Tribolium castaneum: one gene and its partner. The protein of the gene in region 1 purifies or fractionates together with the protein of each later gene. This does not show direct contact. Links are inferred from orthologs where the notes say so. Each region holds a gene or a part of one and is shown on either strand. Other genes may lie near its edges.

Evidence for each region. The genes of interacting proteins can lie anywhere in the genome.
Region 2: the proteins of CSN4 (region 1) and mahj purify together in Homo sapiens (affinity purification with mass spectrometry; 4 studies listed by BioGRID, with this or other methods). This does not show direct contact. The link is inferred for Tribolium castaneum from reciprocal best matches to the Homo sapiens genes COPS4 and DCAF1.

Annotation. Positions count from the first base shown.
Region 1 is NC_087399.1:5,889,772-5,897,166, reverse strand, and holds the end of CSN4 (COP9 signalosome complex subunit 4), read right to left. Parts: coding exon of another isoform or gene 7,215-7,395; intron 6,473-7,214; coding exon of another isoform or gene 6,310-6,472; intron 6,263-6,309; coding exon of another isoform or gene 5,989-6,262; intron 5,937-5,988; coding exon of another isoform or gene 5,897-5,936; exon of another isoform or gene 5,782-5,896; intron 5,657-5,781; exon of another isoform or gene 5,517-5,656; coding exon of another isoform or gene 5,434-5,516; intron 5,388-5,433; coding exon 5,308-5,387; intron 5,259-5,307; coding exon 4,555-5,258; intron 3,147-4,554; coding exon 2,918-3,146; intron 2,868-2,917; coding exon 2,731-2,867; 3' UTR 2,638-2,730; downstream 1-2,637. Other genes in the region: voltage-dependent anion-selective channel, read left to right, coding at 804-1,354, 2,065-2,282, 2,337-2,428; sds22 (protein phosphatase 1 regulatory subunit 7), read left to right, coding at 5,897-5,936, 5,989-6,262, 6,310-6,472, 7,215-7,395. UniProt on the Homo sapiens protein: Component of the COP9 signalosome complex (CSN), a complex involved in various cellular and developmental processes.
Region 2 is NC_087398.1:980,752-988,684, reverse strand, and holds the end of mahj (protein mahjong), read left to right. Parts: coding exon 1-60; intron 61-106; coding exon 107-257; intron 258-308; coding exon 309-446; intron 447-494; coding exon 495-622; intron 623-668; coding exon 669-844; intron 845-895; coding exon 896-972; intron 973-1,020; coding exon 1,021-1,556; intron 1,557-1,623; coding exon 1,624-1,762; intron 1,763-1,812; coding exon 1,813-2,311; intron 2,312-2,362; coding exon 2,363-2,472; intron 2,473-2,518; coding exon 2,519-2,798; intron 2,799-2,852; coding exon 2,853-3,199; intron 3,200-3,248; coding exon 3,249-3,367; intron 3,368-3,421; coding exon 3,422-3,655; intron 3,656-3,704; coding exon 3,705-4,103; intron 4,104-4,306; coding exon 4,307-4,391; intron 4,392-4,437; coding exon 4,438-4,647; intron 4,648-4,692; coding exon 4,693-5,052; intron 5,053-5,100; coding exon 5,101-5,170; intron 5,171-5,212; coding exon 5,213-5,400; 3' UTR 5,401-5,610; and 1 more. Other genes in the region: trypsin-3, read right to left, coding at 5,769-6,053, 6,113-6,454, 6,513-6,676, 7,160-7,379, 7,433-7,645. UniProt on the Homo sapiens protein: Acts both as a substrate recognition component of E3 ubiquitin-protein ligase complexes and as an atypical serine/threonine-protein kinase, playing key roles in various processes such as cell cycle, telomerase regulation and histone modification.

The DNA.
Region 1 (7,395 bases):
ATTTTCAAAAACGCAACTTGGCCACACTGTAGGGCGGCGTTGCCGGGTTGTGCCCTGGCGCACTTTCCGCAAGTTTATCGAACAGCTGGTGGATTACGTAATTTGCGATAATATCCAACAAATGTGCTTTGTTGTCCCGATTAGGGAAAAAAATCAGTGATTAGTGGTACAGGGACTTGGAAATCGGCACCAAGTGGGGTCGCTGATGTGGCAACGCCGCACGCCTCGTCCGCGCCATCCTCGTCTAGCAAAAGACAGCAATAGAACGTTCTCGTTTGTGGGTCCGGTTGTCCGCAAAATAACTGTTAAAACGCTTGAAATACCCACCCGGTGAACGATTTCGAAACTAGCGCCGGTCCTATTCCCACTCGAACAACGCAATAAGTCGGCCCTTTTAGTTTCAAACCCGATTTAATTCAGCCCAGGTGAGCCAATTTTGCGAAATGGTGCGAAACGGTCACATGAACGGCCACGTCCCGCACTTGCGGCTCCCAGCAGCCCCGGGTGGCCGGTCAAGTGGCCTGTGCCCCGATCCTCGCTTGTTATGTAAGACGTGACTCGATTGATTTTCCGGATTTTCTCGGAAAATCGCGGTGGCGGGAGGGGTGGGGCGGCGTGGCCCCGTGGCGCGACCTTGGGCGGCCGCGGTCCCGTTGGGGTGCAATGGGGCCCCCAGGCGGGGGCCAACGCCGCTTGGTTGCGGTTGGGGTCGCGAGGTGGAGCTGGAGCCACTTCCACAATTGTCAAACTAAATCGGACAAAGTCAAGGTTAGGGTTATTTCTGAACGGGTCTATGGTTGCAGATAATGGCCCCACCACCGTACTCCGATCTCGGCAAGAAGGCCAAAGATGTGTTCGGGAAGGGCTACCACTTCGGGCTCATCAAGCTGGATTGCAAGACGAAGACTGGCTCAGGGGTGGAGTTCAACACTGGGGGTGTGTCTAACCAGGAGTCGGGGAAGGTTTTCGGGTCGTTGGAGACCAAATATAAGGTTAAAGAGTACGGTTTGACGTTCTCCGAAAAGTGGAACACGGATAATACTCTGGCTACGGAAGTTGCGATCCAGGATCAGCTCCTCAAAGGCTTGAAGTTGTCCTCAGATCTGACCTTTTCGCCACAGACTGGGAGCAAGTCAGCTCGCGTCAAAACCGCGTTTACCAACGATAGGGTGGCCCTCAACTGCGACGTTGATTTGGACTCCAGTGGGCCCTTGATCCAGGCGGCTGCCGTCGTGGGGCACCAAGGCTGGCTGGCGGGTTACCAAACGGCTTTCGACACCCAAAAGTCCAAACTCACCAAAAACAACTTCGCCCTAGGTTTCTCCACTGGAGACTTCATTCTCCACACTAATGTGTAAGTGATCAGTGGCGCACTCACAAGTTTTTTGAGGGGGCCAAACATTAATATTCACAAATTTGTATAAAAATTTAAAAACATCTTCTTCGTGGACTCAAAATATGTAAAACTTCATCACAAATTACTTCAATACCGCGGTGGATTTATAAAGAAATTAAACCATTTAATCTATTTTGTCCTGTAGTGTTCAATTTTTTCCGAATTTAAAAATTCTGTAATATTTTTGTAAATCTTTCTTCTAAGTTTGAAATTGCTGAATCTAAAAGAGGGTTGAAAATTGAAATTTAATAATACATTTCTGGCGAATCAAAGGTTACATTGGTTCGATGTATTTGCCTTGAAACTAATCAGAGTACCAAAATTTCGTGTAAATGATTTTGGACGGTTTTAAAAGAATTCAAAATGGGATTCTGCGTCTTTTCGTAATAATTTTAAAGAATAGAACAACTTTAAAGATTTTTTTGTTTCTTTTACCGTTTTATCCAGAAAAAAGTTTACTGACGTTTTATTTTTATACACACCTACTTACGCGACGCATGTTTGTTTTTTTTTAATGTATATATAAACAAGTTTAAAATTTAAATCATGTAACCCCCCCGGGTGTGCCACTGTAGGTGATACCAACCTGACTGTCCCAAACCCCGCCAGATCCCGAGGGGCCCTTTATCTCCCTGATCCCCGTTTAAATCCCCTTTTGTAACGTTTAGTGATCACAGCGATGACGGCCAGGAGTTCGGAGGGTCCATTTATCAGAAGTTGTCCCCAAAGTTGGAGACCGGCATCCAGTTGGCGTGGTCTGCTGGCAGCAACAACACCAAGTTCGGAATAGGGGCTAAATACGACTTGGATCAAGACGCCGCGATTCGCGCCAAGGTCAACAATTCCAGTCAGATCGGTTTGGGGTATCAGCAGCGTTTGCGTGAAGGTGGGTAGTTGGGGGAGGTTGGTCGGGGGTTGATTGGCTTTGTTTGGTTGGCAGGTGTGACTCTAACTTTGTCGGCCCTCATTGACGGCAAGAACTTCAATAACGGCGGCCACAAGATCGGTCTGGCCGTTGAGTTAGAGGCTTAATCAGAGATTCGTCAGTTCCAAATTGTATTAGAACCAAGACACGTTTCAGCCTGCTGTATTGTAGATATTTTAATTGTTCTATGGGACTTTTTAGTATTAAAACATATACATGAATACGTCTTGTATTTTCAGTTTGTAGTAGTTTTAGTGAAGTCGTCCTTTTGTTACCGTTTCCGGATACTTCTCAAAAAATTGCTACTTCCCACACGTGTTTTTTACTTGTGCAAGCTTTTAATTCAATTGTTTTATGATTATGACAAGTATTGTAAAACAAATAAAATGTAATTTACAAAAGACACGTTTCACTTAAGATCCATCTGCTCCTCCATCACCTTACTGATCCATTCGGGCTCGCTTTTTGCGATTGATTCAATGATTGAATTCACCTGGTAGCAGAGAGACTGGATTTGTTTGTCCCACTGGGGCAAAGTTTCACGAGCTGGAACAAAGCGATCAAATACACATCGTAAACAACACCAGCTTTAGTACTTTCAAAGTGGACGATTGAATCGATTTGGTCAATGTAACCGTTCATTCGCCCTTCGGTTATCATCTGACTTGCGATTTTTTCAGCCTTGGAAGGGTGTATTTCGAGCAAAGCTCCCAACTCTTCGAAACTAATATTATTATAAAGTTTACTAGCAGACAGGAGATTGTGTTCGATAACGGCGCGGTCCAGAATTGTTGACCCATCAATGGTGCTCGCCTTTTGGTGGGGCTACAATGAATCGACAGTTTTATAAGAGGTCGCTTAACCTTTGCAACATTGTGATAATAAAGCGTTAGTTAATTCCCGTTAATTAAGCAAGTGATAAGACCTGCAATTACGGCAAACAACTCATGCATCACTGTGTTTACAAAGTGTGACGATATTAAACAATAAAGAGTATTATCCTCAATTAGTTGCTCCGTTGCATCACATTACTTTTTTATTCTCACACGTAAATAACCTCGTGAGATGTTATATAGATGATCAGTTTATTATTAGATTTCTGGAATCCGTCTCGGCGCGCATTATTTCGACGTAGACAAATATCGACGTCAACAGTATTATGAAATTCATTTTTTGTAAATAAAAAATCAATTAAATAAATATGAAATCAATTAAGAACTTTAATTAAATCGTTTTTATTGGTACTAAACCTAAGTCAAAAGTAGACAAAGGTTAAATTTAACGCAGCTTTGCTTAAATTAAACTCACAGTGGAGTTCATCGGCATTTACAAGGAGGAAATATCAGTAGATAACTTAACACACATTTCATTTTTCCCTGTGTGAACTATTTAAAGCACATGCATTACACAAAGTGTAACCGTAATCCGGCTCTGATTAAACAGAAACCTAAAACGTGCTAAACCAGCAATCTTATTTCACCATAATACTTTAATGAGACAAAAAAATGTTCCTAAAATGACATCGGGAATAAATCATCTGAGAAAAAAGTTAGGGTTACAGTGAAACCTCCCATAAGCGGACACCGACATGCTTTTTGTCCGCTTAATGGAAAAGAAATAGCAATTTATATATAAAAACAAACTAAAATAAAAGGCTTCGCTTTTCACAAACGTTACACTTCCATAAAACATGTACTACCTACTTATGTGATTCCCCGATTTTTTTGATCAATTGTCATAATAACTATTAATCACACGCGCGTATGATGTGCTGTCCGCTTAAAGGAGATATTTTGTTTCCAAGGATTTGAATTGCATTGTGCGCGTCCGTTTATTGGAGCGTCCGCTTAAAATACATTATCTAAAAAAAGGCCCGTTTGTCAGAGGGGTCCGCTTATCGGAGGTGTCCCTTAAGAGAGATATTACTTGTGTTGGTATTTGAATACATTCATCTTCATTTTATGATTATACGTTTGTAAGGGTGATAATTAATAATAATAATTTTATTTATAATATTAATAATAATTAATAATACTGATTATCAAATTAACAAATGGTATTAGTATTTTTATTGCTTTTGCAGATTTTCTTTAAAACTTGTTTCAATCAATTTAATTCAAGATGATACTTTTATGTCAATAATTTTTCAGTATTTAATTGTACAAAGGACTCAAAAAAATACAAATTTATCATAGTTATGCAACTAACAATACAACACTTTTTATACACGTACCTGCAACAAGGCCTCAAAATCCCTCAATTCGGACCTCCTGATGATTCTTTCGAGGTACATTTTTTCCAAAATCGCCACTGCTGGCAACTGTTGGCACCTCTCGTCCTTGAACAGTGTGGCCAACATGCGCGATCTTTGTTGCCCCGCTGAAGCCAAAACAGTGCAAACTAAAGCATTCCGAAGGGCTGTCATGCGTTCATCTTCATGAACAATCGTCCTATAGGACAATTCATTGTATCTCTGAGCCGCCTCAATAAACTTCCGCCGATAATCCAAAACTCGAGCATAACAAACTTTGTAATAAATTTGAAGCTGCTCATTCCGTGACTCGGCCTGAAGCAGCGACGCCCGGTTGATGAAAGCCTCAGCCTGGACCGGATCGTCATCCTCAAGATACAACCTCGCGATTTTCAAATACGTTTCAAGTTTGTAATCCACGGTGTATTGTTTCTGGCCGGTTTCGAGCGGGATTCCCACCAGGACAGCTGCAGCCTCGCGCCACATGTGGTTACGTTCGTAGATATCGGCCAAATGTTGGCGAATACTTGCCACCTGCTCCTCAAACGAAATAACCCGGGGTTGCACCTTCTCAAGCATAAAGTGTGAGACAGTTTTGGAAACATCGTCGGGTAGTTTCATCAAATGCGAGCTTATTTCGGTCAGGATTTGGCGCGAGATGACCAAACTAACGTTCTCATTGACAACTGAAACGACTTGAGTTAGACTGGGTTGGTGGCTGTGGGGGGTACGGACTTGCTTCGATGAATATCTGCAAGCCTTCGGTCAGCTCGGGGCCCGAACCGGCGAGGATGTTCTCAAGAATACCGCGATATCTGTTAAAAATTAATGTTTTTTTTAATTTTTTTTACATAACCTCACTTTTCGGCCTGGTCTTTGTGGGAGCCCCCGGACGCGATTATGTTGGAGAGTTGGGTGCGGATAGCCGCGCTTTTCTCCGACATGGTGCTCCGCTACTATTTTGGCCACAAATAATAATAAATTATTTTAATTTAACTAAAAGTAGTTTTTGACAAATGACTGACAAAACAGCAATTGCCAACACAACGCTATTGCCGGTTGTGGTAATTTTGTCTAAAAAACACACTTGCAAGTAAATTGTTGTCTTTGCTCTGTAAATAAATACTTGCGACCAATTGCAAGTACAGTTTACTTTAATTAACGTGTGAATAAGGGGTTAAGGGGAAGACGATTTGATTTAATAGGTTGGCTGCACGTGTTGAAGTCAAACTCAAACGTCACGGATGTTTGCTGTCACCCGCCTTTAAATTAGTCACTTAATTAAATTGCAATAAACAGAAATAGTCCAGTGTGAGTGCGAAAAATGCCTTCTCCGCAACAAAACGAGAGTTCCCCCGAGCCCGGTAAGAGAATTCGTTACTTTCGTCGAAAGTCCATGCTCATTGTTAGCCCCAGAGACGTCCACTTCGAACGACAATAAGGAAAAAGGGGCCACTGTCAACGAAATAATGGTAATAGACCCGGACACCCTTGAGCTGGACCTAAACCATGGCAGGATCAGCAAGCTCGAAAACCTTGAGCCCTTGACACAAATCGAGCGCCTCTTCCTGAGGTGGAATTTGATCACCAAAATTGAGAATTTGGACACGTTAGTCACGCTCCGCGAATTGGAATTGTACGATAACCAAATCGTCAAAATGGAAAATCTGGGATGTTTGGTTAATTTAGAGTAAGGAGTGACTCATTTGTGAATGTTGCGAAATATGGCTTTAAAAGGATTCTAGATTTGTCGTTTAATCGTATCAAGGAGATTGAGGGACTGGAGAATTTGCACAATTTAGAAAAACTCTTCCTGTCGTCGAACAAAATCAGCAAAATCAAAAATGTGAAGCACTTGCAGAAGCTGACAATGCTGGAGCTGGGGGACAACAAAATTAGGGTAAGTGTTTATCCTATGGAGGATAATAACTTAGGAGACGAAACTGCGCCGTATTCCCAGCGTTTTGATAAATGTTATCGCTTAGAATTATCAATTTGCGTTCCACCTTATATTTCTGCGAGCTCTGCGAATACAGTTGAAGATACAAAAAAAGTGTAAGGAACAAAGTTGTAGAGAATAAAATTTTCTACAAAAAAGTCCGCGACACCATATTTCTATCTTTAATAGTTTAGGTACGAATTAACTTTCCAATACTTGACCACCGGCAAAATTAAGGAAATCCGTTGCTTGAGCGTCTTTGAACGACTTTGGGGCCTAAATGGTTCAAGATAGGAACATGGTCTCGCGGACTTTTTTGTAGGAAATTTAATTCTCTACAATTTTCTTCCTAACATTTTTCTTGTATCTGTAACCGTATTCGCAGCGTTTTGAAAAATATCTGACAGAGTGCAAAATTGGTAAAAGTTTACGATAAAATTTTTGCACTGTGTTTATCTCTGAATATTGAGAATTTAATGCTATATCTGCCTGTTTTTTTTTGTTTGCTATGTGTGAACAGTAATAAAAATACAACCATGTTTTGAAATGCGCCCTCTGGCGACATTAACGGAGCTATCGAGGACGAGAACGTTTTATTTGTACGTCGTTTCATATTCTAACCTTTAGATCTTCGTAGTTTATCCTTTGAGTGTTTTCAGTTGTTAGTCATAATCTGTGACTTCTAAAACCGTCCTAATTGCAGGACATAGAGAACCTGGAAAACATGCCAGCCCTGACCCACCTCTACTTGGGCAAAAATAAAATATCAAAAATAAAAAACTTGGACAGTCTGACCAACGTGACGTGTCTGAGCCTGCAAAGCAACCGAATAACGCGTATCGAGAATTTGGATAAGCTCACACAATTGACCGAACTGTACATTT
Region 2 (7,933 bases), on another chromosome or scaffold:
AAGAAACTGGGAAGATGAACATACGGCGCCTAATTATGACCCCATTCAGACACTCACCAGGTAGATCTTGCCTTAATTTGGCAAATTCTTACCCTTTTGTTGGCAGATTGGCCGAAATATGCGAGGTGGAGACTGAAAATTACCTGAAAATGGATCCTGACCCATTTGATGAACGCCACCCTTCACGAACTGATCCTGACTGCAAACTTGGCCAAATTTTAAAAGCGCTTTTTAGGAAGGATATTTTTATGAACAAAGTATTAACTCTCCACAAAAACATAAAAAGACACACATAAATATTTTTTCAGCTTGTTAACGATTATTTGAGAGAAACGTACTACTCTCGGTCAGGAATCACAGACAAGGATGTTGATCAGTTGAATATTGCAGCTTGTAGGTTGATGCTAGACGTAATGCCTGGCTTAGAGACATCAGTGGTGTTTCAAGTACGTGTCAATTATTTTTTTGGGGGGAAAACTAACGACTAGTTTCAGCCCGATATGGATAATTTGATTCACCGTTTAATTAAATGGACTACAAATTCAATAGAACCTCTGCAAAGTTACGCAACGGGGCTTTTAGCTGCTGCAATGGAAATTCCAGAAATTGCCACACGTTTTAGGTAAGTTTCCGCTTTGGTCTTATCGCAGTTAATTACCAAAAAATAGGGAACAAAACGGACGACTTGTGCCTTTACTACTTCAAAGACTGCGTAGGCTTCAAAATTCCTCGGAATTTTTGACCACGACAAATACTCGACCTTTTGCACACTTATCTTCAATGAAGTCGCCCCCTTATCGCGGTGACGGTGTCGTAAAAGTTTCACCCTCTGGTATTAAAAGGCGTACGTAACGACACCCTATTGTATTTTACCCTTCAATAATTATTCTTACAGCCCGCGAGAATGGAGTTATTCCAAATTCGAAAACAACACTTAATAAAGAAAACACTGATGTGATTAACACTAGTGAGGTAAGCGCGCCTTTTCCTCCTCGTGATATGGTCTCACGTTTAATACAGTTATCAGATTCGGAAAGCGGCCAAAAACGCAAAAAACTAAAGCTGGAGCACAATTCAAGCGAAGCTGATGAAGGCTCTCCTCAAAAACCCTTCCTATTTAACGAAACGAGCAATTCGTCGTGGGCAGAGCTTGAAAGTTTTATGATTGGAACCGTGCAAATTTTTCCGCCAACTATAGCAACGCGTCAAATACTCATTTTACGTTATTTGACACCGTTGGGTGAATATCAGGAGTTTTTGAGTCATGTTTTCGAAAATGACGCTCTTAGTTTGGTCTTAAAGTATGTGAATGTCCGAGCGACTAAAGAAGCAAGACTTGCATTTGAAGCCTTGAAATATCTTGCTGCTCTTTTATGCCACAAAAAATTCTCGATTGAGTTTATTCAAATGGATGGTCTTGAGGCACTTCTGGAGGTGCCAAGGCCGTCAATATCAGCCACTGGGGTCTCGATTTGTTTGTACTATTTGGGGTATTGTGAGGAGGCAATGGAGAGGGTTTGTCTGCTTCCGAAATACATGATCACCAGTTTAGTCAAGTAAGTCTAAGTTATACCTTACAGTTTGTAAAATCAATTAAAACTCATAATTTAAAAAAAATCTTAGGTATGCTTTATGGCTTTTGGAATGCTCACACGATTCGGGCCGATGTCATGCTATAATGTTTTTCGGTCTCACGTTTCAATTCAAAGTGATTTTGGAGGAATTTGATGCTCATGATGGGTTACGAAAGTTACACAATGTGGTAAGTTTATCCCAAGTAAAAAAAATTGTTTGCTAGAGTTATATGTACAGATTTCTACTTTATCAATTTTACTGCCGGACACCGATACGACTCAACTAAACGAAGATCAAGAGTGCGCCGCTCGTCAAATCGTTCGCCACGTTTGTGTTGCATACCGTCGTTACCTTGAAGCTCATCTAAACCTAAAAGTAGAACCAATTAAAAGATCACAACTTAGACTTAACGAAAAAATGGCACAGCCGCCTTTACCGGCGCAGCCGAGCTACAAACCGTACAAGTCATCGCCTGAAGAGGTGCAACAGAACGTCGAAACGTTGTTGCAATATATGCCGTTTCGGTGCCATTGGACGCCAGTTGATCAGTTACTCAAATTAGGGGGAATCACACTCTTGTTGAAAATAATCGCGTTTGCGTATGAGTGGAATTATAGTGGGAGGGCTGAGACGGTCAGGTCGGCTTTGGATACGTTGGCTATTGCGTGTGTGATGCCTAAAGTTCAATTGTTATTTTGTGATAGGGTGGAATTGCCAGAGGAGAGTGCCACAGTTGGTACGAGAAAATCACAGTTTTGGGATTTTTTATTGTTTTTTTCTTCTGTAGGGATTAATATTATTTTGGGGGCCGCTGAGGGTGAAATAGTGGCCGATGCTGATGTACAAAAGGCTGCGCTTCGAGTCATTGTCAATTGTGTGTGTGCCCCCATAAATAGGGTACGTTTTTTACCGTTTCCAGACGTTTGTTTGATTTTTTTGTTAGGTTGGTGGTACTTTAACCCGATATTCGGCCACGGTTAACAGCCCAATTAAGAAAATTAAACTCAAAAGTAGCGAAGAATTGATTCAGAGAGTTTGGGATTGTGTCAGGTCTAATAGTGGTATTATGGTTTTGTTGCAATTAATGAATATTAAAACACCAATCACTGATGCGGACTGTATACGAACTTTGGCTTGTAAAGCATTGGCCGGCTTAGCACGGTCGGAAACTGTCCGACAGATCGTGTCAAAATTACCGCTTTTTACGAGCGGACAACTGCAGAGTAAGTCTTGATACGAGGCGAATCCGAGTGGGGTAACAACTGACTTAATTGCAGATTTAATGAGGGACCCAATTTTGCAAGAAAAACGCCAAGAACATGTGACTTTCCAAAAATATGCACTTGAACTTTTGGAACGACTTTCGGGGAAAACGAAACATCGGGGAAATGACTTGGAAGTTTCTTTAGCCAACATACATAGAGCTAACGTTGTGGCTCAGACTAAAATTCAATTCAATGATCGGCAATTGTTACAACTCATCCACCAACATTTAATTACGAAAGGTTGTCCAGAAACGGCCTCTATGTTAGTGAAGGAAGCAAATTTGGGAAACTCAGTCACGCCCATTTCAACAAATCAACCAACCAAATTCCGATACTCGTCCACTCTAACACCATCTAGGGTAAGTAGCAATTCACCAAAGCTATAATTAAGTGTAACAAATGTCTTAGCTTAAGTTAAATTTCACTCCAATGCAACACCGCACAATACCGCAGTCACCAGTGCAAAAGGAGGAGACATCGTTTATTAATAGTTCCAACTGTACTTCCCCTGCTATTAAATTAATAAAGTATGGTCGTCATTGTAGATAATTATCATATTTTTTGCTAAGAAAAAATTTCAGGAAACACCAAAATCAAGTGGTCGCGACACCACCGGTCCAAAACTCCCGATTACAGAAACAAACGAATAGCGATGTTGTAGTTAGGGTGCCGAGTCAGAGCTTGCTTGACGAACCGACGAATCCACCCGAACAGCCCCGAGTCACGCTCGATTCGATCATAACCGAGTATTTAACCAATCAGCATGCGTTATGTAAAAACCCCATGGCCAACTGTCCCAAATTCAATCTCTTTATGTAAGTTTAAACTCCTATGATTGGTTGTGTTTCTGATGGTGTTTTCTAGTCCACATAAATGCCCAGACCCTAAACCAAAGATAGCCTCAGCCAATAATTTTGTGGTGAGGTGTGCGCGACGTGCTATTGGGTATCAGTCCAAGTCTATGGACCGGAAATTTATTCATTCGAGATTTTGTCCAGTTCAAACGATTCGGTCGTCGTCCGATGGCGATTTCTTCACTTGTGCGAAATTTTTACCGGGTGATAAAAGCATAATCGTGGGTGATTACAGTGGTGATATACGAATTTTTAATCTGCATACTGGAAATGAAGAGTTTATGTTTCAAACGCACGATAATTATATCGTTCATTTGGAGCCTAACAGGAGTGGGGAGTTTCTGTTGACGAGTTCCACGTGGGGGCGGCCTCTGTCCGCACTCTGGGCCATAAGGAACTCCGAGATGAAGTAAGTTTTTTACTTTAAGTCGAACTTAAAATTTTTTTGCGAAACTCGAAAATATCAAAAACAATTGTCTAAAAAATTAATTCAACTCGCAAAGCGATTTTTTTAACCGTTTGTATAAAACCATACAGTTGGTGGTCTGATTTGACCACTCGATGACCAGAAATGTTCGGTTCTGCGAATTTAGCGTCTAACTTGTGGTTTAGGTTTGCGCTGGACGATGAAGAACATGTTGAGTTTAGTAAAGTGACACAGGAGCGGATTGTGGCGACTAAACTTGAAGTTGCAACAGTGAGTAACACTTCACAGTTTGGCAAATTATAATTTTTTCAATTAGATTTACGACGCCGTCACGGGCCAATCAATCTTGCGTTTAGTTCCTACAGATAGTAACCAATACACTAGAAATAAAGCCACATTTAGCCCGTTCGATGATTTGGTTTTATCAGATGGTGTGCTTTTCGATGTCAATTCGGGCAAACAGATTCACAAGTTGGATAAGTTGAATCAGACCCAAAGTGGGGTGTTCCACCCTAACGGCTTAGAGGTACTTTCGCTTTTTTTGCTTAGGGAAATACATAGTTAATTGTAGATTGTATCAAATACTGAGGTTTGGGATGTGCGAACTTTTCATTTGTTGAAAACAGTGCCAGTTTTGAATCAACGTACTGCCGTTTTTTCACCGGTCAATAGTGCGATTTATGCCATTTCGATGGAACAGGAATTGGATAATGGTGACTCGACATTCGATTCGAGTTTTAAAACAGTGGATGCGATCGATTACTCGAGTATTGCTACTATTGACGTTAAGAAAAACATCTACGATTTGGCGGTTAATCGGTTCGATACGCAAATTGTGATTGTGGAGAATCAGGGGGTTTACCAGTCGGTTCAAGAGTCCGTGGTGCGGATCTATGATGTCGGGAGGAAGCGAGACGATGAGGATGAACAAGTAAAAAGTTTAAGTTGTGGTTGCGTTTTTGTTTATTTTTTGATGCAGGATGAAGAGGACGAGGAAGAGGAGGATGATGATATGGATGGGAGTGACGATGACGGTTCCGATAATGATGGTAATTGCAGAAAAGTGGCAAAAGTAATATAATGTTTTGCAGTCGATGTTGATTTTCTAGATCGATTGATGCTCAACGTGGGCGGGAATAACGACAACAACGATAATAACGCCAACAATGATGATGACAATGATGAGGACGATAATTTCTTCGATAGTGAGTCTGATAGTTGGACGACTACGTCGACTGGCTCTGATGATTCGTTCACGGATGATATGTTCGATTTTTGAGCGAACCGTAAAATAAGGTTTAAATGTGATAGCAATTCGAAAATAGTTAATTGGATGAGTGGGCGTGTGTCTGTTTTTTATAAGGAAAACGGCATTTGATGATTTTCCAGCTTGTGGTGTCAAGTGTGTTTTTAAATGTGAGCCGAGTTTGGAATTATGTTGAACATTGTGTATTATATTTCATAAATAAATACAATTTCAAAGGAACAAGCGTTTGATTTCGTGCCAAAAATCCTAGGACATTGTCCCCTTGCGTCAGCACAATTACGACGGACGGGTCAATAAAACCATCACTTTTTACAAATCAAGTTTATTGCTCAGTTAATGTCAAAAATAGCTATAAAAGTGTTAAATTTGCGAATACTGAATTATGAGTAGTGGTCCATCACGTAATAGATCCACTTTAGGTAGTTAAACACAGTGGTGTAAATGCCGTACTTGTTTTTCAAACCACAGCCGTCCCCAAAACTTGTGATGCCTTGGACGCTGTATGCGAGTCTTGAACGCCGTTTGAAGGGGCACATGAGCCCCCCGCCACTGTCCCCGGCGCAAGTGTCGGCCTCCCCTGACGACCAACCAGCACATAACATGTTGGGGGTGATGAGGAAGTGGCGGTAGGAACGGCGGCAGACGCTCGCCGCCACAATAGGAAGCTGGAAAAATAGTATATTAAAAAACTTTTGGAAATTTGGAGAAAAATTATAGCAGTCACCTTGGCCTCGTGCAGCGTGTGGGTGCCGTAGGTGTCGCTGGTCCTGACCTTGCCCCAGCCCATGACGGAGCAAACCTCCGAGGGCCTGGGCCTGGTCTTGGGCAGGCAAGCGATGGGGAGATTAACACTCCTTGGTAGTTGCAGTAGGGCAATGTCATTATCCACCGTTTTGTGGTTGAACTTCGGATGCTGGAAAATCGTGTGAACAGTCATCTCGAGCTCGCGTCCATCTCGAGCCCTTAGGTCATGTTCGTTCAGTCTTACGCGTAAAATCGGACGTATGCAATGACTAGCTGTGAGGACCCAACGTGGGCCTATGAGAGTGCCTCCGCAGAACACTTCCTAAAATTTATAGCCGAGGTTATCAAGCGTTGAAATTGACCCATTTCGGGATACCTACGTAGTATTTGTTTAAAATGGCAACGTGCCAAGGCCACTTGTACTTCTTCGATTCGGTGCCGCCGATGATTTTCAGCATTCGCGATTTGCGGAAAGGCTGCCCACAGCGGCGGCGCTGCGGGAGGCGGCGGTCCAAGTTGTTGTAGTGGTAGTAGCGGTTGCTTTCTTTAAAAGGAAACGAAATCATATGCAGAAACCGCTTTAATGAGGTGACCACAACTCTAATTTTGGAAAACTGCCTAATTTGAAACTTCTTAATCAGCGCACAATGCTTTTGGAGCAGAAATTATTAGGTCTAGAACGTTTTTTTTTACCTGGACTAGAAAAAAGCAAGTGGTAATGTAGTACATTAGTCCGTAATGATTACTATACTTAGAGGGTGATTCAAAATTGGTTTTGTTATAATTAAAATTAACTAATTTTATCCTTCATATTTTTAAGGGACTTGATATTGTATTAATAATCTTTTTGCTAGAGCAAATAGTTTTGGCAAAAATCGCTCGGTTCTAGGTATATTTTCGCCCAACGCTGTGTTTATATATTTTTATCATTATTTACTAACCAGCTTTATGATTATTTATTTATTGAACCGCAAATATTTGAACAAAAAGGGACCCGTTTTCTATTCGTGGATAATTCCTTACGCACCGTATGCGTCTTGGTTATCCAACAAGTTCAGAACGTAGTTTTCACACATGGAATTGTCGTGGTAGCAGTAGGCCGTCTGCTCCTGCTGCTTCTTCCTGCAGCGTCCCGGCTTCCTGCAAATCCTGATCCTCTGCGTCCTGCAATTCTCCGAACAGGGCGACCAGTTGGACCATTTGCTCCAAATGCGAGAAGGCGCTTGACGCAGCAAATGGCTACTATCCTAAGACAATGAATCCGTCTTAAAAAACACACTTGTGAATCCCCCAAACATACTTCGTTCAATTGTACGACCCGGAATTGTTTTTTCTGGCGCGCTTTCCTCTTGCAGCGTTTCTTCCCGCAGGGTTTTTCTTCGTAAATGCGGGAATCCTCGCATTTGGGGGAAATACACTTCTTGATCCTTCTCTGAATGCAGTCGATGCAACGGCTCCAGGGGGACCAAGGCGAGTAGCGCGCTTCGGAAATTTGGAGGTCGTGATGATGGGTCTGAAAATATGGCTTGCGTGACCCAATTTGGAGACTGCTAAATCGATTCAATTGCAGTTGTGCAAGGTTTTAAGGCGGAAGTGTGGGAAAATTGGAGTCATTTCCGGATTTATTTTTGGTTTCGCACAGTTTGGCGCGCGTTGGGACAATTTATATTGGGGCAATTAAGGGGAGAGGCTCAAAAAGGCCCTTGTTTTATTTAGACTAAACAAATAATTAAAGGCGGGATAAGAGCTCATTCAGGATTTGGTGATTTATTTATTTCAGGTTAAGTTTGGCGTAACACGC